Linked DNA regions of Mytilus edulis. The protein of the gene in region 2 purifies or fractionates together with the protein of the main gene of each other region. This does not show direct contact. Links are inferred from orthologs where the notes say so. Each region holds a gene or a part of one and is shown on either strand. Other genes may lie near its edges. The genes, in order: 26S proteasome non-ATPase regulatory subunit 4-like and ubiquilin-1-like.

Region 1 (10,918 bases), about 21 Mb from region 2:
TATTACAAATTTGTGCTCTAAAAATATTATCTAGTACCAAAAAAAGGAATAAATTACCAATTGAATATATAATAACATAATAATGTTACCTTAAAGATATTAACTGTCTTTGAACATATTAAAAAATATATATTGCAATTTCTACTTGATAATTATACTTTTAGCAATCCATGTTCTAAACATTGCTAAATTAGTAATGCTCTCTGTTCCAAATCATATGATGTATTCAAACTATAATTCCTATATAGATGAAAAAAACAAAACAAAAAACACATATTCTTTGATAATGGGTAGAGTGAAGTTGAACTGTAAAAACATAATATGTTGATGAAGATGTACTATATCAATCATAACTACACAAACAATGAAATAAAGACTATAGTTGAAAAGCATCTTTATTTAAAAAAACCAACATACATGTATACAGTAAAAAAAAAAGAAGAGATTCGTTAACTCGTGATACACACAGAAACGTAGACAAAAAAATGAGCAGTGCCTTTTCTTATCATAAAAAGTGCCCTGCCCTCCACTGGCACCCTGCCCCTTTTGATTTCTAGCTAGAGCACTGACATGTATGCTGTTAGTTTTCTAGTTTGACTTGTTTTACATTGTCATTTAGGGACCTTTTATAGCTGACTTTGCCATATGGATTTTTCTCATTGTTGAAGTTAGTACAGGACCTATAGTTGTACATTTTAATTTCTGTGTCACTTGGTCTCTTATGAAGACTTATCTCATTCATGTCATTGGCAATCATACAACATCTTCTTTTCTATAAATACTTTTTTTTTTTATATCATAACAGAATATAACATAGCAAGAAGTGCTTTTGTGCTTGATATGCATTCTGATAGTCACTTACTTTCATTCTATAAACATGATAATCTAAAAAAACAAAAACAACATTAATTTCTAAAGTATTTGAATTTGCATATACTATGTATACACGTATTTTACGTTCATACTTCTACTTTTCAACATTATTTCTCTTCAACTTACTGAGACATAACTAATAGTCCAACATTGTTTTCTGGATTAGATCTAGTTTTGGAGTGACAAACAAGATTGACAGCATCTTGTTGGGCTTGCAGTCTAGTAGGAACAAAGTCACCATTTCTCATATAATCACTGTTGTCAACACTGAAACACATATAAAAGTAAATAAATTGCAAGTGTATCAAAAACACTAGTCACTACTGTCACTAGGTTAGGACTAGTCCAAATAATTATGACGTCTGGCAAGGCTATTTCATTTTTTTTCTGGGACGCCTTCCTATAAGGTCATAACGCTGAAGCCATTTTTTACGTCTGGAGTTTGAGAGCAGATTTTGGTGGGAACTTTGACACCTAGTTTTGACATGAAATTTTCATTGCCGGTTAGAAATTTTTACATAGTTACAAAGTCCTACCTTTTTTGTGCTTATTGATGTAAAATATTTCCTGAAATATCCAAAAGAAAAGATAAAATAAGGTACGATTCCATTTGAGGTGGGCAAATATTTATTATGTCTCAAAATGTTTTCCCATAATTACCAAAGAAACGTCAATTCCGATGGATATAAAATTTAAAATCTGTAAAATTTGACAGACCAGAATTTCCAGATAATGTAAATGGAACGTTCCGGAAATTCGGCTCCATTAAATTTTACCGTTTTTAATATTTTAACATGACGTCCTTCAAACGTTTGAGTACACACCCGTGGTAAAATCTGAATATATTGCCAGGGCTGTTCCAATCGTACTCCAACGTCATATACTTTTTTATGAATGAGGTGCCCGACGTCATAGAACGATGACGTAAGAATATAAGCATTTTACGGGATGACACGCTTGTGAAACCGAAAATTATCACAACAAGGAAACGTAAACAAACGATGCTAAAAGCTGGTTTAAGCCATTTTTTAAAAACATATTAGACATATATAAGTAAACTATCATTTAAATTCATTCAAAACGATATAAATACGTTATTGTGATTAGCTTAAGCATGTCAATAATTCAGTTAGCTCTGTTCTTTTACGCCAATTGAATAGTGCATTTATATATGGGAACGGCAAATATTTGCCTCCACCTAGAGCGCTTCGATCCAAAAGAATAAATGTATATACACTTTTGGTATTTAGCTGTATTTTGCCTCTGAATGACCTTTTATCACCTCGGAATAACCTTTTGACGTCAGGCAACAATCACTTTTTAGTTGTGACGTCAAAGTTTACGGGAACCTGTGTGATTTTATGTAATGGCGGACAAATTTGCATACAAGTGTAATTACGTCTATTGCCGTATTTGTCCTATTAGAATCGAAATAATTCATGGGGGTTTGAATATATCCAGATTTTACCACGGGTTGTTCCTTTCAGGGCTGCCAAATTTTTTTTGAGCCAGCCGGACATTTTATATCTGATCCCGATTTTAATCTCTAAGACTAAGTCACAAAAGGCAATTATGCTAATCAGATGGCCATCCCAAATTATGATTGACATTAGATTGACAATGACGATATTAAAATTTACTTTGATATGAATTTGATGTTCTGAAGTAAACTGTTAAAATTGGCAGTGCATCATTCAAAGTGTGCACATCAGCATGCTCATATCTGCCTTAGGCTCTTTATTTGTGCAAAATGACATTGTCAAAAAATTTACTTTAGTTTTTAAAGTCACATTTTCCCAAACCGGATGTTGACTTGACAATGGTAAAACATGGACCATAAACGGATATGTAAAATCAGTGTACGTTTACAAAGCACGACTGAGTGAAGAAGCTCTTTCCACGTTATTTCTCCAACAAAATACTTGAAATGAACGTTAGATACAGGTATCAATGATAATTTTAGCATTTTTGAAGAAATGTAGGATGCATAATTAAATTTCCCACCTGTGCACATGCGCACACATGTTCTTATTCATGCAACGAAGTTCTGACGATTTTTCATTTAAAACCTTTTTAAATGTTTCATCAAATCATGTTTATAAATGTATTTATTATAATTTATTCTTTTGGACTAAATCAATTAGATACAAACTGCTGAAATGTACGGAAATAATTGTGAATAGACAGATTAATTTATCCGATGTCTGGTACTGAAAATTATAGTTTACCTGTCATCTGAGCAGGTAGTTTTCAGCTGTCCAGCAACTAATTAGCCTGGATTGAAATTAGAAAGTATTGAAGTAAGGGTTGTTTTGATAGTAATTAATCATCATGTCACTTTTAAGATCGGAAATGTGGGGCTGTTAAAGGCATAAATTTGGGTCAAAAGATCGTGAATTAAGTAAAAATGACCGAAAAAGCCTTGAAAACTAAAAAGTAGATGACCGTTTCATGCTTTGCCCAGCTGGACTTTTAACGGACATTATACAAATGACCAGAATATTTGACCGTTTTGGAAGCCTTGGTCCCCTTATGCCGATATTTTACCCCTTGCTATCGCTCAGGGTAAAATATTTGTCATAAAGGGCCAACTCGTGGTAAAATCACGATATAGTGATCAAGCCCCCATTAGTTATTTCTTAAATAACGTCAAAAGTAAAATCCCTAACAACAGAACCAAAATCGGAAATGTTACAGTATTTCCGTTTCTTTTTTTAACAGATTTGAAGTTACAAAAAAAAATCGTACAGACTTCGTCCCCTTTCACAGGTAATGCCTGCCTCATATTACATTGACATAATTTGTGGCATTTTTGCACTTGGTCTTCGAATATTTCCCTTGAACAGTAAAATTCCATTATAGCATTATATTCAAACAGGGTTAAACAAAACCGATTTCTTTATAATTTTACGTGAAATGATCATTGTCACATTGATATGACCGAGTCCAACCGGTGATGTGGATTTCCAAAATCGCTAAATCATCGTCGTTATAACGAATAAATAATTTTCACACATTAAATACCCTAAATCAGGAATAGTGAATATGAGACGATAAGCAAGTTTACATCGGGCCTCTACCGAAATATGTATCTTATTAATTAAGCTTGAGTGTGAGGGAAACAAATATGATTTAAAGTTTTTTTACCAGACAATTGTACTTTCGAGAACCATTTTGGAAATGAATGATATGATGCGTTGTGATTGGTTGAAATTATTTTCCATCTTAATGTCCGGATGATAGACATTCAACAGCACAGCACAACGACGTAAAGAAAAATATCGCTGTGCTTGCTTTTTAAAGATTGAAAATTGATTTAAAATTTTTCATTGATAATCTTTCACAAAGAGCAACATTTAAAAACAATTAAATACACAAGTAAATGAATAAATTGAAGCAAAAGTGCATATAATTATATTATTAAATAGTATTGTATTTGTTTACTGGTTTCCGTCACACAACCTCGTCATAAACGGAACCCAGTCTTCAAGCACATGGTTCAACAACAACAACAAAAGAATTATGGTCAACTTCTATGGCTATGACGAATTTATGGACGATAGATCATTACAAATATTGAACGAAAAGAACGTCATAAGAATCAACTCATCATGGAGCAACACAGCAGTTTATTTTGGCAAGTATCTAATTAAAAGAACACAGTTAGGTCAATCTCTTGGAGATTACTACAGTTAGTTTAATAGTATATTTTATCTGTTGAATGACACTAACTTGCTCAGAAAAAAACACTGGACCGGAACATTTCCGTTGATAACAAGGTGTAACTGTAAAAGAATAAAGACAAAGGAACTTAGAACCGACTGAGTGGTATAGCAAATATTGGATTGTTACCAAAGACTGACAAACCTGACAATATTTACAAACATGCAATAGTGAAAGCTAATAAATTTTTATATAGGTATGTCATATCATGGGTCTTGCATCTATGGTCATATATTAAGATACTCAGTTTTTGCAAATTTGATATGCATGCTGAGGGTAGATTACAACTGTCCAGTGTCCTGTCACTCAGTATTCTGTCTTGTACTATCACACCGTGGCTTTTTGTAGATGTTAACCTGTACAAAAGCACCATAGAAACAACAAAGAATCTCCATCATGACACATTTGCTAAAATGTCATTGTTTAATGCTTAGTATAGCTTAATAGTTATACTTCAGTTTGTTATTTAAGGCATCGTGCATTGTTTGTCTCATTAGCATGATTAGTTTTCATATTGTAGCTTTCATGTATGCCTGATCTTCTCAGTGAGAGGATAAGCATATAATGGATAACTGTGGGTCTGGATTTCTGCATTCTTTATTTTTAAATCAATTTCTATATTCTTTAATTATTTTGTCAATTTTTATATATACCGTACTTTCTAGCATCTATTATAAATCTATTCTTTTTTTTTTTGCCAATTTTCTTTTCCCCCTTTATTCTGCACTTTTGACTGTAGTTCTCCATCCAACCAGGCCCTCTTACAATTGCTTTTGATACGTTTTGACTGGGCAACTAGTTCGGCCATAAGTCGTTTCGGCCGCTGAGTAAGTTCAACCAAAGTCATTTTGGCTACAGTCATTTCGGCCATACTCGATTCGGCTAGACTTTTTCATATTGTTATCATAATATGTACGACTAAGCGCTCATATCACAACTTCTTATGCATATTGATAATTGTTAAATATTTTGACTGAAGTTTGTTTTGAAAAGGAAAATTTGTAACAAAAACGAAATAATCTTTTTGACATAAATTGTAAAGTAAGATCCTTGCATAAATTGTGACTTTCTTATGGCACTGTGCCACACATGGTTAAGATATTACTGATTACAATTTGATACGAAATTCCAGTTGACAAGGTCGGTACTTCAAATTGTTATTTAACGTCTGCTTCTAATTTCCCCCTCCCTTTATAACAATGAAAGCCTTGTCTGAAATGACCTTACAAAGTTTTGCCGATTTGGAACTGGCAGTATATGACCAAAATGACAATGGCCGAATCGGCTGTGACTGAAACGGCTTGCATCGGTAAACTTGCAGGGACAAGTTTGCGTTTTCAAGTTCCTGAAATAAATTCTTGTCAAAGTTGTGACAAACGTTTTCAATTGCTTTATCTTAGATATATGTTTTCCGTCTTTCATATCCCCAAGCATATCCTACGTAAATTCTAATACGATAATTAATAATGTTTTAAATGTTGAATAAGTTTCTACACATTGTGTTGAACACGATGTGGTCATCTTTATTCACATGCATCATTTTAAAAACTTCGGACATGTGGATATTGTTCGTATCCTCGATATGTCAGTGCATTTGTCTGTTTGAAGAACTATTTTTGTGATACAGTTTTGTGTTTGCAGTATATGCTTTTTATTGCTAAAGTCGATAAACAGCCATTTGAGCAATAACGCAATTTTTTTTATAAATTATTAACTAGCATACCAACACAGACTAGCTCGTATCTTTTGCCAGGTGTCACAGGCCTTATTTGAAAATGTAAAGAATGCCATATGGACGTCATATGCGATTAATATTTTATCATATTATAAAATTGAGAATGGAAATGGGAAATGTGTCAAAGAGTTATTTTTTTTGTGATATGTTGATATGACGTTGTTTGCTGCCCGTACGTCTACACATTGTTTTTGTGGTTCTCCGATTATTGAAAATATTTTGAAAAGAATTTTGCCAATAAACAAATGTCACCTTTGAAGATATAACATGTTTGAAGACCATTTTAGAGAATCATTTAGAGCAAGGAATACTAAAAGACCAAAGAGCAGAAAACGACCGAAGGCCATCAATTTGTCTTCAACACAGTAAGACAATCCTGCATCCGGAGACGTGCTTCAGCTGGACCATAAACGAATATGTGTACTAGTTTAGTGATAATGGACGTCATACTAATTAACTCCGAAATATATAAACGAACTAAAATTAAAAAATCATACAAGACTAACTAAGACCAGACTGAGCTACCTGACTTGGGACAGGCGCAAAAATGAGGCGGGGTTAAACATGTTTTGTGAGATCTCAACCCCCTATACCTCTAGCCAATGTAGAAAAAAATATATATGTAGCAATACGTAGTTAAAGTTAACTGATATCTTTACTATGCACTCTTGGTCCTATATCTAACTGCTACTAGTGAAGCAGGACGGCTTATCTTTTCGTTGCTCATGCCCAGTCTCCGAAAAATACTTATATACCCTTATGTAACAATTTTCTTATGACTGTGGCGTTGTATTACACATGAGGTTATAGTTAATAACTTTCAATTGAAGATTTAAAAGATAAATATGACAGATCATCCAGTAAAATAAATTAAATAACATTTAGATGAAAAGATGAAAGAGTAGATTGTAACCCCCTCGAAAAAAGGGATGATCAACATTGGCTTCCCCTCGGTTGACAATTGTTTTCTCAGGAAAAAATGTACTCTATCTTTCTTTTGATTATGTGTTGTTTAAATTTTTTTTTCAATTAATCTTATTTTCTTAATCATTCATTTATATATTGCACATTTGAATAAAGGATTTTCTTTCAGATGACGGAAAACAAAAAGTATTGGGCTATCAACATGCGATATTGGACCAAATTCTTTACAAAATTTCTGGATGTTCCATTAAAAACATTACATTTGTTGGTGAAAATCTAGTATGTTTAAACAATTCTGATCAATGTTATATGATAACAGACAAATTAAAATATTTTATGATACAATTTTATGACAAACAGCAGCACAATGGACAGATAAAGATATGCCATCTTACTGCAACGGACAAAGACCTCGTAATTATTTCAGGTATGTTCATAAACTGAGAAGTTGTTAAATTTATATCAAATACTCTTATTTTCAGAATCATCATGTTTAAGATTAAACATATCTTATTTGCAAAATATCTCCAAAAGGATTAGACACAAGTGAGTCCAACTTAGACCATCTTCTCCTACTATATAATTTTAATCAATACAATTTAGATCATGATCATTTACAGTTTGTGTTTGCCACCTATCATTACTCGAATACTGAGAGATGTGTCATCTGCAAAGAGTCTAGTACGTTCTTCTCGACAGAATCGTTTATACAAATTATAAGAACATAGGACCGACCCTTGGGGAACGCCTGCTAAAACAGATGTAGGAGAAGAACAGGACGGTTTAACTTTTTCATCATATATATTTCCATGTGCTCTTATGTTTAATATTATATTAAGTATAAGATAACTCTAAATCATGTATAGGAATCCAAATGCAATAAACCCCACTCCCATAGGCGGATCCAGGGGGCCCTGGGGGGCCCGGCCCCCCCCTTTTCGTGGGAAAAATTTGGTTGATTACATAGGGAATCATTGAAGCATGACTGGAGCGGGCCCCCTCTTAGGTCAGTCAGCGCCCCCCCCCCCCCCCTTAGGAAAAGTTCTGGATCCGCCAATGACTCCTCACAAGAATTAAAAACATAGCATGTTTTAGATCGAAAATATAGGTTTAGCACTTAGTAAGTGTGCCTTTCAATAATTTTAGGTTCTAAAAAGGCCATTTACAAGATTTACAATTGGTTTGCTTCCAGTTATACTATACATAATACTAAAACCCCTCATTTCTGGAGTATTTAGTGCATATTTTGTCTAAATTGAATGATAACTTTTCATGTTTAATGATGAATGCAAAATAATGATGAATGCAAAAACCTTAACAGTACCTAACTACACATCTTTATATTACTTGAATAAAAGTCAGACGGATATGAGCTGACACTATCGCGCCCGTTTAGTGTCTTTAATCATACTAAGAGTAAGGTACTTGCTGTTATCTTGTGAGCTAGTATGTTAAAATCCGAATCAAAGTGTCGATCTTGTACAAAGCAGGGCTTTATAAAAGCATATATCCATGATCTAAAGGACAACTTTTTAATTTGTTAAAGCAAAAACTTTGAAAAAACAGTTGATCGTTTTGGAATAATCGTTTCACAGATGATATCGGATATGTTCCTTATGTCGTAACTACAATTCACTTCCCTGTTCACTACAAATGTGACTTACCGTTTATACTATAATTTACCGGGGTTGTAATAACATGAGCAACACGACCGGACGGGTGCCACATGTGGAGCAGAATCTGCTTACCCTTTCGGAGCACCTGCGATCACCTCCAGTTTTTGAAGGGGTTCGTGTTGCTTAGTCTTTAGCTTTCTATGTTGTCAAGTGTGTAATTTGTCTGTTTGTCTTTTTATATTTAGCCATGTCGTTGTCAGTATATTTTCGATCCATGAGTTTGACTGTCCCTCTGGTATATTTCATTCCTCTTGCTAAATACACATAAATATACACTGCAAGTATCAATATATAAAATCAGATTTTAAGTATTTATTTTTGAAGGTATAGAATCCAAACAAATGATAACATCGAAAATAAAGAGATGTGGTATGATTGCCAATGAGATGTGTTATGATTGCCAATGAGATGTGTTATGATTGCCAATGAGATGTGTTATGATTGCCAATGAGATGTAACTATTATCCAACAAAGTTCAACGGAAGTGATTATAAACAATTACTAATATAGGGCAACTGTATTGCCTTCAATGAAGAGAAAAATCCATAACTTATAGTTTGTTACAAAAGGTCCCGACAAGAAAAATATAAATAAAAAAATGACAGATATGAACGAACGACAACTACTGAACTACAAGCACTTGACATGGGGCAGGTATATATATAGAATGTGGCGGGGTGTCTTGAAAATGCACTTAATATTTTGCAGACAACCGTTAATAAAATGTTAATAGATCAATTATTGTTATTACTATATATCTTTACAAGAGGCAGTAGGTTGACATGTTTGTGTTATTTAGTTTTTGCTTATAAAGTACCATATGAGCCAATTTTGTAAAGCATACCTCTCAATAAGAGACTTATTGTAACATTTCCCATCATATTCAATGTTGAGTTTTAGTTCACTTGTTACTATTATTACAGATACCAAGATATGTTTTATAAGCGAGAACATATTATGTAAAATAGGAAAAGACATCAGATGCGAAGATACAGATATTACACCAACATATTCATTGCCTTTAGTGTCTCTATGTACAGATACAGTGGCTGCAGTTAGCTGTGGAAAGGAACATGTCTTACTTTTAACAACGTATGGCACAGTCCTCACGTTTGGCGGAGGAACGTATGTAGGCCTAGTATATAAAAATACGATATAAGTAAAGGGAGATGTACTTGCTGTTTTACAAATTGTTTTAATCACTTTAATTTTTAACACAAACAAAAGTAAGATTTGGCTTAGATTTTACATGAAACACAGTGACGTTTAAGATAATAACTTTCAAATATTGTATGCCCCTTTTTTAATGCAATTTTCTTTATATAACGCATCCGAAGAAATCGTGTCATTTCACCAGATTAGACATAGCGATTGCTCTTTCCGAGATATATGTAGCTTTTCTGCATTCTACTGTGTCCAGTACATTACAGTCAGTCGCAGTGATATGTCTTCACTTGCTTTCACAAATGTTTAACATTAGCAGTCTTTATTACTGTGTATTCCATTTTATTTAGTCGAGGACAACTTGGTCATGGAACAGTTGATAGTACAAAGGAACCACATTTGATAGACAGCTTAGCGGGACTCAAAATGTTAGCAGTTGCAGCTGGTGGCTGGCATTCGCTTTGTATTTCAGGTAACACAAAACGAAATGATTGTTTATTGTATATCAGTAGAAAAACAAGAGCATCGGTGTCCAAGTAGAACTGATATATATCACTAGCCTATCAACACGGAGTTAGTGTGGCCAATTCCGCATGTTGCAGGTGCGCTCGAATCCAAGCTTAATTTAATAGTACTAGTAACCAAGTTGTCAGTTTTCCTACAGAAGATCGGCACGAAATAGCACAAAAGTGTTGAAAGTGTCGTCAAACACCAATCAATATATTGGAAAAACTTATAAAACTTTAAATTAAGTGTAAACTGCCTCCTAAACATCAATGTTAAAGTTCGACAGCCTGGTTTTAACGATGAAATAGTGTATATA
Region 2 (11,048 bases):
GAATAGGGGCAGCTCTCTGTGCAGCTTGTTCTTGCGACTACAAAAATAAATCCATTTCAACTTTCAAATTATCCAAATATATACATGTTAAATCTATAAATATATTTCATTATGACAAATATATAAGGAAATAGGTTTTTGTTGATTACAGAGTTTAATTTACTGAAAAACAACTTATTTTCACAGATACTTTATTTTGTGTTAAGTCCTTCCTATCCCTTTTTTGCTGCAATTTAATTTCACGATTTTCAAATTAACTTGAAGTAGATGAATTAGATGAACTGTCATGTGACAGGCGGGTAACTACACATGCTTACCCTGTTTGATGATTTGATCACAAGATGAACTGTCATGTGATTGGTGGGTAACTACACATGCTTACCCTGTTTGATGATTTGATCACAAGATGAACTGTCATGTGACAGGCGGGTAACTACACATGCTTACCCTGTTTGATGATTTGATCACAAGATGAACTGTCAAACCATCTTTTATTTGATGCTGTTCTAGAGTGTCTTCATCTTTCAGTATTTTTCCAGCAAATATTAAACAAAGCTGTTCAACTGGAGCATTGAATTTCTGTGACACCATTTCTCTCAACTGTGAAAAACAGAAATAAAAGATATGTTACCAGGTGCAAGTAAAGTAGCTCTACACTTAGAGACTAGTCTAAATAATACTTGCCATTTGCCAATAAAGTAGTCACATAAATTTTGTTTAACAGTTTATTTTTTATATAGAAGTACCATACCTTTCAATCAGGAAAAATTGAAGACAAAACTTTAATCAACTTGATTATTAAATAACAAGAATGACAAAACTGTAAGGATATGTTGCAATAAGTGTAATGTCCCTGTAAGCTACTATTTAATGTGTTTGTGGTCACACTGCAATTCAAACTGCACACTTCATTGAATTGTATTCATATCTTACATTTTGTAATTGTCTGATTTAACTTAAAAGCAATGAAAATGTCATGTACTTTATATTTCTTTAAATGATTGCTTGACTGAAGGAGCTGCTAATCATCTGGTAAAACAAAGTTAAACGTAGTAGAGCTCTTGAGGGCTTCTTAAATGCTGGTATGCTTTCAAACTTCATTCAGGTCAGCTTGGTTAACTTTGGGGTCTCTAGTGCTAATTTTGCAATAGGCATTTGATATCCCTAATTGTCAATCAGCTGACTTTTATTTTAAGTTAGTGTAAGAACCTTTGTAAAATGATCATATGTATCCCATGATCAAGATTTTCTTAATTCTGACATACATGCATGTATGTATATACCATGTATACAGAGGAATAAATTTTTAAACTTAAAATGATACATGTACCAAACAAGTTTGATTCATTGTTTGTTTAAAACTCCCCATTAACATGATTAATCTGACAGGAGATGAAAACTCCATCATGAAATACCACATTTGATTATCTAATTATTGCTGATCACCTATGTCTCCCTTTGGAAAAATTCAAAATCAGGAACCAACTAACTTTGCATGTATTTAAAAAAGTTAATACGATCAAAGTATTGCAATAGGTCATTTCTGGAATCATGTCTTTCACTAGAAAAGATTGTCAATTTCGCACGCCTTTATGATGTCATTTACCAGAAAGAAGGCGCGCCTGTATCCCTGCTCTATTAAAAGTTTCCAGCACTTTCATAATCGTCATTCTGTAGGGTAGTATAGAAATAATTAATGTTCCGTAAACAGTTAGGGGACTTACTGAAATAAGTGATTTTTAAATCACTTATTTGAGTAGCAAATTCGAAGTTTTGTCACAAATTGTGATTTTGTAGTTTTACCAAAATTTTAAACACATAGGTTTAAAAAATATCTTTTCATTAGTAAAATTGAAAAAAATGAATTGTTTGATTCTTTTAAGTATCAAGGTTTATGCCTTTGATGCTATCATTTAGCTGCAAATTCTATTTTAGTTGAAAAAATGCTATAATAATGGCTTTACATGTACATAATGAACTGATACTTTCTTCACAGATTTTTCCCAGCAGTGGGAGTATTTTTCCTGTAAAGTTCAAGGTTTTATCTTTCAGATTATATAATAAAATTCTACTGTTCGCGATAAAAATTTCACTGTTCGGGGGTGTTGAAATTAGTGGGGGTTATTAAAATATGATACTTAAAGAAGTGATTTTTGGGAAGGAAATTGAAGTATGATACTTAAACAAGTGATTTTTATGTCATTATCCTAGATTCAGTACAAGGTCATCACCTGAAATGACCTGGTCATCCTAGACAACACAGATGTTGGTTCTGATAAGTTTAGAAACATAATTAGTCCCTGGATCATTAGTGTTCTATATTTAAAGCTACAGTAAAATTAAATCACTTCTTCTAGTGATTATTTTGTACTACTTAAATAGGTGATTATTAAAGAAAGACAACTCTTTCTTTCAACCTTTATGGAAATAATGTTACTTGAATCAGTGATTTAGAAAATCACTCATTTAAGTAAGTCCCCTGACTGGTAAAATCATAATCGAGATTGCCGTATGACTGAGGGAGGGTGACCATCCTTTTAGATTTAAATTTCCCAAATATTATGTGCAGTATAAAATAAAACTTTTTCACCCGTTTGCTCAACATGTGTTGGAAATTTCTATGCATACATTTTTGTCACGTGGTGATGGAAGTCACATGACAGATTCATCTGAAAACAGTTTCCCGGAACTGGCCTATTGGGACAAGTGGTCAAAATCATGTAGTTTAGATATATAAAATTAAGATGTTGTATGATTGCCAACAAGACAACTCCCTACAAGAGACCAAAATGACTACATGGTAGTACTCGCCAACTGTACAAAATGTATGCTGTTGTAAAGGTGACACAACCACAAATGGGACACTAACAAACACTAACAACCAAGGCCTCACTGGTATATACATTTGTAACTGAAACAACATGTGGACGAAATGATTAATGACCGTAAAGTCTCAAAGCAATACATGTGACCTCAACATACTTTTAATTTAATTACAACTCTTGGTTTAGTGCATAATAACTCTGAAACATTTGAAGATTTTGACGAATCTGTCATGTGACTTCCATCACCACGTGACAAAAATGTATGCATAGAAATTTCCAACATATGTTGAGCAAACAGGTGAAAATATTTTCTTTTATACTGCACAAAATATTAGGGAAATTAAAATCTAAATGGATGGTCAGGTCACCCTCCCTCAGTCATACGGCAATCACGATTATGTACTTACGGAACATTAATTATTTCTATACTACCCTACAGAATAACGATTATGAAAGTGCTGGAAACTTTAAATACATTGTAGAGCAGGGATACAGGCGCGCCTTTTATCTGGTAAATGATGTCATAAAAGCGTGCAAAATTGACGTTATTTTCCGGTGAAAGACATGATTCCAGAAATGACCTATTAAGATAAGTACATACCTGTCAACCTCTGAAAATGAAAAGTCAGGTCATGACCTGCATTGAGAAAAAAAATCTCAGGTCATAACGCGTACGACATTTTGCGGGCTCAATTGAAGAACAAAAATATGTTTACATATAATTTATATAGTCAATATGTATATGAAACAGTTAGAACATGTATACAAGTTTATTTCATACTATTGTTATATTCCATAGTAGCAGACTTGGCATTCTTTAAAAGAACTGCACTTGGTTTCAGTTCATAGCAATGCAAATGTGTATTCATTTTACAAGAAAGAAGAGCACACAGTGTATCCTTATTAAGATCAGCCCTACACTCTGTAGCTATTTTCTTTACTAAAGAAAATGCCCTCTCACTGTCTGCATTGCTGTTTGGCAAAACCAGTAATGTTTTAGCAAGTTTTGACAAAACAAAAAATCTTGGCTTGTTTTCAACTACCACTTTGTTATTTTCAACTGAAAGGGCCCTCTTTACTATTTGGGTGGTTTTAGTTTTTCCACAGGAATAACCTGAAGCTATTTCACAGCTCAGGTAAACATTCCTACATTTTGACTTTTGGTTACATTGAAAAAGACCGATAAAACCGAAGGTCGCATTACTTCTAAATACCGGAAACAATTCCGGTCAGAAATCCGGGTGAAACGGGTAATGTTAGAAATTCCCGGGACCCGCCGGGTAAAGAAAAACTCCCGGGTGAGAGGTGAAAATAACGGGTGTCACCCGCAAAAAACGGGTGAGTTGACAGGTATGTAAGTAGGTAATGATTTTATTTATACAAAATTAAAAGGGTTGTACAGTTTGTATATTGACCCCTCACTGCTTCAGCTTCCAACCCTGGGTTTAGGGTGTGATTCGTTTTAGAAGTCTCTCCCAAGTATGATTAATATATAGGGAGCTGAGCAATGCAAATGTCTAGTAAAAGTGATAAGCTGATGTAAGCAATTGAGTAGATTTAATCTGTTAATAGAACATTCTAGATAACGAATTATTGACATATGCAGTGAGAGAAGTAATCTTATGTATGGATTGTAGAGAGGTTTCAGGGATATTCTATAACTTCCTAGCGATAGATTTACCTCCTTAACATGAGCATTAGTATCTATTTCCATTTCCTGCTTTTCTTTTGGTGTTTTAACCGTGATTTTCATGGTTTTACGAGACTCATCCATTCGTTCGTCCGCCATAATGTCTGTATTTTGACCTGTCACTATTCTGATTCAATGACGCGTTTGATGCATACTAAAGTTGGTGTGTTCTATAAAACAGCTATGGTGTCTTTGTATTAGGGGCTTTCGAGACGTTTCGGCCATACACCAGTTCGGCCATGGTCGTATTGGTTCATACATTATTTCTCAATGTTTCATCAAGGATTTGTATAGTAACTATACAAATCCTTGGTTTTATTAATGTTGAGAAAAAAGAAAATAAAGGATAGCACAAGATTCGAGTAAAGTACAAAACATCTATTAAATGCTTAATGATCGAGAAACGATTGATTTGAAAAAAGAAATTAGTGTATTGTTTTGCTTCAAAATATTATAATAATAAAGTTGGAGCAAATAGATAATCAATTCCACTACAGATACGGACGATTGTATATCTAATTAGATAATTGGATTAGCTAGGTGATAAACTAAGTGTCAGAAGTGATTGACCGAGGCGCGTGTCTAAGATAATAAACCAATCCGCGGCAACTTGTAATTTGATTTGATCAGTCCAAAACAAGATTGTCAATTTTGTGTGCTTATATAATTTTCTGAAGAATTCAGGGTCGTAATTTATTTGGAGAAGTTTTTGAAATATTTGAAGTATATTTTTAATAAAACTTGATTAATGAAGATTTATCAAATTTTACTAACGCAAATGATATGTTTCTTGGTACCATTTAGCCGTTTATGCACCCTTACCACTTTGACTCATTGAATTTTTGACAATTATTTGATTATAATGGATTTTTTAAAATAACGTTTGTTTACAAAGATGCTTTATATAGTTCAAGAAAAACACAAAAATACGTTTAAAAGATAAATGAATTCTTAATCTGTCTTTAAATGGGGTTATCCATAATTGTCAACCATTTACCAAAGTGCACAAAACATACACTTTTTCAGACCCCCCACCCTCCCTCAAAAAGTGTACATCAACCATTTTCAGATTTCAAGACAAAAATCAATCATTTTTAAATAAAAAGAAGATCCTGCCTATTATAGTTTAGTTAATGTAAACATTTGCATTGAAAATAAACTGAACCATATCTGACTGTTTTATTTTTATTTAAAAAAAAAAACGTACGGTAATAATGTTGATTTTTAAACCCCTCCCCAAGTGTACGTTTTGTACACTCTGGAAAATGGTTAACAATTATGGATGACCCCTAACATTCAACCTCTAAAAAGGTCGAATAGAAATTAACCTATTTACAAATTTTATTTCGGCAGTATGTTTTCAGAAAGCTATCTCTGCATTCTTTTAAGCAATCCACCAAAATCGCATGTCACATTGCATTTTTCGCCTGTCAAGACGATATTTTTTGTAAACTAATCAACAGCAAATACTGGTACTACATATCATAGTAAAATGATGTATACACAATACTGGTTTTTTTTTTAAACATCCTTACTTAAAGCAGAGACATATAACACATTATCATTGTATTATATGTCACTGCTTAATGAAAAGATAAATTTATAAAATTGAGAATTGGATGTGAATATGTCAAAGAGACAACAACCCGACCAAAGAGCAGACAACAGCCGAAGGCCACCAATGGGTCTTCAATGCTGCGAAATACTCCAACCCCCGGAGGCGTGCTTCAGCTGGCCCCTAAACAAAAATGGTTCATTCTCATTTATCCAACTTTTTAAATTTATAGGTGGTACAGGTAAAAAAAAAAGTTGGATAGATGAGATCAAAGGTAATCAAGAACAAAGGTTTTTTCAATTAGAGTTTTGGTTAAATGACAGGTTAAAACTAAGACTGAAAATTATAGCCGGATTAAATTTTAGGTAGTATTATTAAGCATAGTATGTTAAAATGTGCAATGACATTTAGTTAATGTCATGTAAATCATTTGAAAGTATTTTTAAGTTTTTTTAACCGTTAATCAAAATGTGAATTGGATAGAAAAATATCAAGTGCACTTTTATTCATGAAGAGATTTGTCAATTAGATGGAGCTTTTTTTTTGTGTAATAGATCCCCTTCGTTCATTTTTTTCTGTTCTTCTGACCAAATGATCCAAATGGGACAAAATATAAGTTGAATACGTTTAACTACACAAAGACTGAACATGTCATATCAAAGTTCACACAACATATATACATATATAAACAAAAGCAAAAGCAATTCAAGCACAATGGTTATAAAATACTGGCACAGAAATATCAATAGCACACTGTGACTAAATAAATGTTCAGTAGATTCACACAACATACAATGGTACTAAAGAAATGTTCAGAAGATACACTCATCATACATTTAAAAAAAATAGTAATGCAAGCACAATGGTTAAAAAACGTAGCACAGAAATATCCATAGCACACACTAAAGGAATGTTCATTAGATCTTCATCCTAGTTTCAGTAGGTGGGATACTGCATCAGTGTAGTGATATACGTTGATGAAATTTCGAATTGAATGGCTATATATATACTACAACATGAGCTTAACTATGAAATGTAATCTTATAAGAATAGAGTTCATTCATTCATTCATTCACATGTTTTGGAAAAATTGCTGAGTACTGTAACATAGTTTTAATTTTTAACACCAAATATGCTGAACACGAACAATGTTTAATTTGGTAATCACCTTGAATCATCACCAGTATTATAAGTTAACAGGTGTCACATTTATTGTAATGTTATAACTTGCACTTACAATTTAAAAAGTGATAAAATGTTAATATAAAAATATTACTGATTTGTGGGTTTCTTCTGTATAAATGATGAAACATTTATTTATTATCTAAAATGTACTAAATTTTATTTAAAAAAAGTTTACTATCGCCTGTTTTATATATATTTTTTAAATAATATAAAAAACATACAGGAACAAATTTACTGTCAAATTTTAAAAAGACACCTTATTATTACTAAACAAACAACCCAATAATTAACAAAAATAAAAAGTTGGCTAAATGAGAATACCTTATTTTAAAAAGTTGGATAAATGGGAAGACACCACAAAAATGTATACTAGTTCTGTGATAATGAACGTCATACTAAACTCCGAATTATACACAAGAAACTAAAGTTAAAAATCCTACAAGACTAACAAAGGCCAGAGGCTCCTGATTTGGGACAGGCGCAATAATGAAAGTAATTAGTATATACAACACAATTTCTTCACAGTATGGTCATTACAACCATAAGGACAAATTGGCTCTATGGCCGAAACGTCTTGTTTCCTAACAGAAGTTCCTCTGGATTTTTTTTTTATAAACAATGTTATAATGTAAGTTTTTATTGGAATAAGTATCTATACTAGCTCTTTATTCTGTTATATTTCTTCGATTTGGAACTTCTATTGCATCACAACTGGCCGTAAAAATATTGTTTTGTTTCCCAAATAAATACACATAGTTATAGCAGAGACATATAATACATTTATATTATTATATGTCTCTGGTTATAGTAATATATCAGCTTGATTTCCTTTCATTGAAAGGAGATTGCTGCTTACAAAGAATACAAGAGATCTGGTGCAGTAAAATTTGTACCGTTTATATTATCCCAAATGTTGAAGTTTGAATTATCATCAAAAACGAAAAATTTATTAAATATGATTATCTGTTTTACAGAATTGAGATGACAGACTATCGAATTAGACATACCACAATTATATTTGATGAGCAACATGAAGGGAGTTATCGACTAACTGATTATGAGACAAAGAACCACCAGCATAGGTATCGATCTCAGTGGCGGATCCAGAACTTTTCCTAAAGGGGAAGGGGGGGGGGGGGGGGGGGGGCGCTGACTGACCTAAGGGGGGGGGCCTCTCCAGTCATGCTTCAGTGATACCCTATATAATCAACCAAATTTTTCCCACGAAAGCCCCCCCCCCCCCCCCCCCCCCTGGATCCGCCTATGTGATCATCTGATAGAAGTATTACAATTAAAACAGCGGTACCAACTCAAAGTTACATTTTTGATTATGTCGTGGCCTTTTATAGATAATTATGTGGTATGGCCATTAAACTGTATGGTGGCCTATATAATTGCTTCAATCTAGTGATTCAACAAAAACATTTTTTTTAGTTTGTATTATTATACATGTATATGAAACAACCCGGGATTTATCCTCCCTTTCTGTATCTAATTTAAAAAAATGATTGGTCAATCGTCAGCTGTTACGTTAGAATGAAATTACGTAATGGATAACCATGTTTTTTCTGCTTCTACCAGATAATTTTTTATATTTAGAATAATTAATGCTGTTAATTTTTCTTTTTAGAATATTTTACATATTGCACCGTGGCACATTGTTTTAACACCCTTAATCTCGGTGGATAATTGTCTCATCGGAAATCATACCACACCTTATATATATTTTGTTACTATAGGTAATTTTTAGAACGCACACAAGCCAGATAAAGCTTTTGGCTGACTATGATTTCGAGAGAAATACGAAATTGCAATCGATGTATTGCTACTAAAATGTGTTATTGTTTCAATAGGTATCTGCAGAGAAGTCATTTAAATGAACCGGACAATATTGTGATCAAGTTTATATATTTTCTTATGACTTGTTTGCAAATTGCTGCATTTTCGGTTATTAGTGAGAGTTACGTCCCTTATCCCGCTAAAAAAGACCAAAATAGATATTTATAATTTTTGTGACATTTAAAAAAAGGGGCATTTCAGTAATCAATAAGCTTATATTTAAGAACAATCATAAAAAGAAGTTTGTCAGTTGATTGCCCCTTGGACACTAAGACAGTAAGCAGGTGTCACATTCGCACCTGTGAAAGAGAATATTCTGTATCTGTATCGTTACGTCGAAGGTGTTGTGTAAAGTAGATAAAATGCGTTGTGTATAGATCGTGTTTATTTTAACGTCTAGCCATTGCTATAAGTAACGTCATAAATACATAAGTCAAGTAGCAACGTTAACATGTATATATTCGCGCTAAATTCCCGACATTCTCGGGGCCGGCAAAAGTTAAAATATGAAATTATTAATTCTTTAAATGTCAATCGAATAGATATTTCTGAAAATTAAATAATTAAAATGTCTTTCTAAAACAAATTCAAATAATTCACTTATTAAATTCACTTTTAACGAAGTCTTTCACTTTTAACGAAGTCTATCACTTTTGGGTAGTCCATTTCTTGATGTTCTCTCGAGCTCGGACAGATGCCTCTCGTTTTGGTAGAACTCTTGTCAATCTCTCTGTTGAAGAATCATCATTGTTGTCATCTAAGTTGTTAATGTTTGTCCGGATTTCGAGCGGGTACAGTTTTACTATAGGACGCGAAGTACGTCCTGCACTAGTTCGTATTATAGCTGCTCGTGTAAAACCATCGTTTCCGGTGATCAATTCATCAACAACGGCAATGTTCCATCGGTTTTTCGGTAATTTATCATCTTGGACTTGCACTACATCTCCAACTTGTATAGTTTGTAAGTTGTTTCCTGTTTGGCGATGAAACTCTCTAAGAGTCGTTATGTACTCGGATTTCCACCGGTTCCAAAAATTCTCCATTAAACTCGACTGTTTATTCAAATGTTTATGCAGTTCTTGTTTTCCACTATTCACGGCAATGTATTCAATATTCGGTTGTGGACACGGCGTTAAAGTTATTCTTCTTCCGTACAGCAAGTGTGACGGAGTTAACGGCTCCTCGTCCTCAATATCCGGTGATACGTAGGTCAATGGTCTATCATTAATGATCGCTTCTATTTCTGTCAGAATTGTTTGAAGTGTATCCATGGTAACGTAAGATCTGCCTAATGTTTTCTTCAAACAAGTTTTTGTAATTCCTATTAAGCGTTCCCACCATCCACCATACCAGGGCGCTCTTTTCGGTATGAATCTCCAAGTTGTTCCATATGTTGACAACGTATCGTTTAGCGATGGTGATTGGGTTAATTTCTTTAATGTTTCCGAGGCGGCTAAATACGTCGAGGCGTTATCCGATATAATGGTGTGTGGTCTAGATTTACGACCAGCGAATCTTCTAAAGGCTTGTAAAAATGATTTTTCTGATAAGTCCGGTACAACTTCCAGGTGTACGGCTCTCGTTGAAGCACAAGTGAATAGGCATATAAAAACCTTGTTTTCAGTATCATGTGTATCTCTAATGTACAGCGCTCCGGTAAAGTCTACGCCGGTAATTGTAAAAGGCGGTGCTTCAAGTAATCGAACTTTTGGCAGTGGCGGAGGATCGGGTGCTGTATATGGTTTACTGTTGATTTTTCGACAAATTACGCAATTTCGCAAAATTCCTCTTACGTATTGGCGAATTCGGGGTATCCAGTAAGTTTGTCGTATCTGAGTCACTGTTGATAAAACTCCTGAGTGTTTCATGTACTTGTGTATATCAAGAACAACTAATTTCGTAAAATGATGACTTCTAGGTAATAAATAAGGAAATTTCGTATTTTCACAAACAG

The links.
Region 1: the proteins of ubiquilin-1-like (region 2) and 26S proteasome non-ATPase regulatory subunit 4-like purify together in Drosophila melanogaster (affinity purification with western blotting; 3 studies listed by BioGRID, with this or other methods). This does not show direct contact. The link is inferred for Mytilus edulis from reciprocal best matches to the Drosophila melanogaster genes Ubqn and Rpn10.

What each region holds. Positions count from the first base shown.
Region 1 is NC_092347.1:13,365,252-13,376,169, forward strand, and holds the start of 26S proteasome non-ATPase regulatory subunit 4-like, read right to left. Parts: upstream 4,131-10,918; 5' UTR 4,098-4,130; coding exon 4,021-4,097; intron 1,141-4,020; coding exon 1,000-1,140; intron 1-999. Other genes in the region: uncharacterized protein, read left to right, coding at 4,396-4,510, 7,425-7,682, 9,855-10,056, 10,446-10,567. UniProt on the Drosophila melanogaster protein: Binds and presumably selects ubiquitin-conjugates for destruction.
Region 2 is NC_092347.1:34,491,849-34,502,896, reverse strand, and holds the start of ubiquilin-1-like, read right to left. Parts: upstream 4,678-11,048; 5' UTR 4,615-4,677; coding exon 4,507-4,614; intron 601-4,506; coding exon 448-600; intron 38-447; coding exon 1-37. Other genes in the region: uncharacterized protein, read right to left, coding at 9,742-11,048.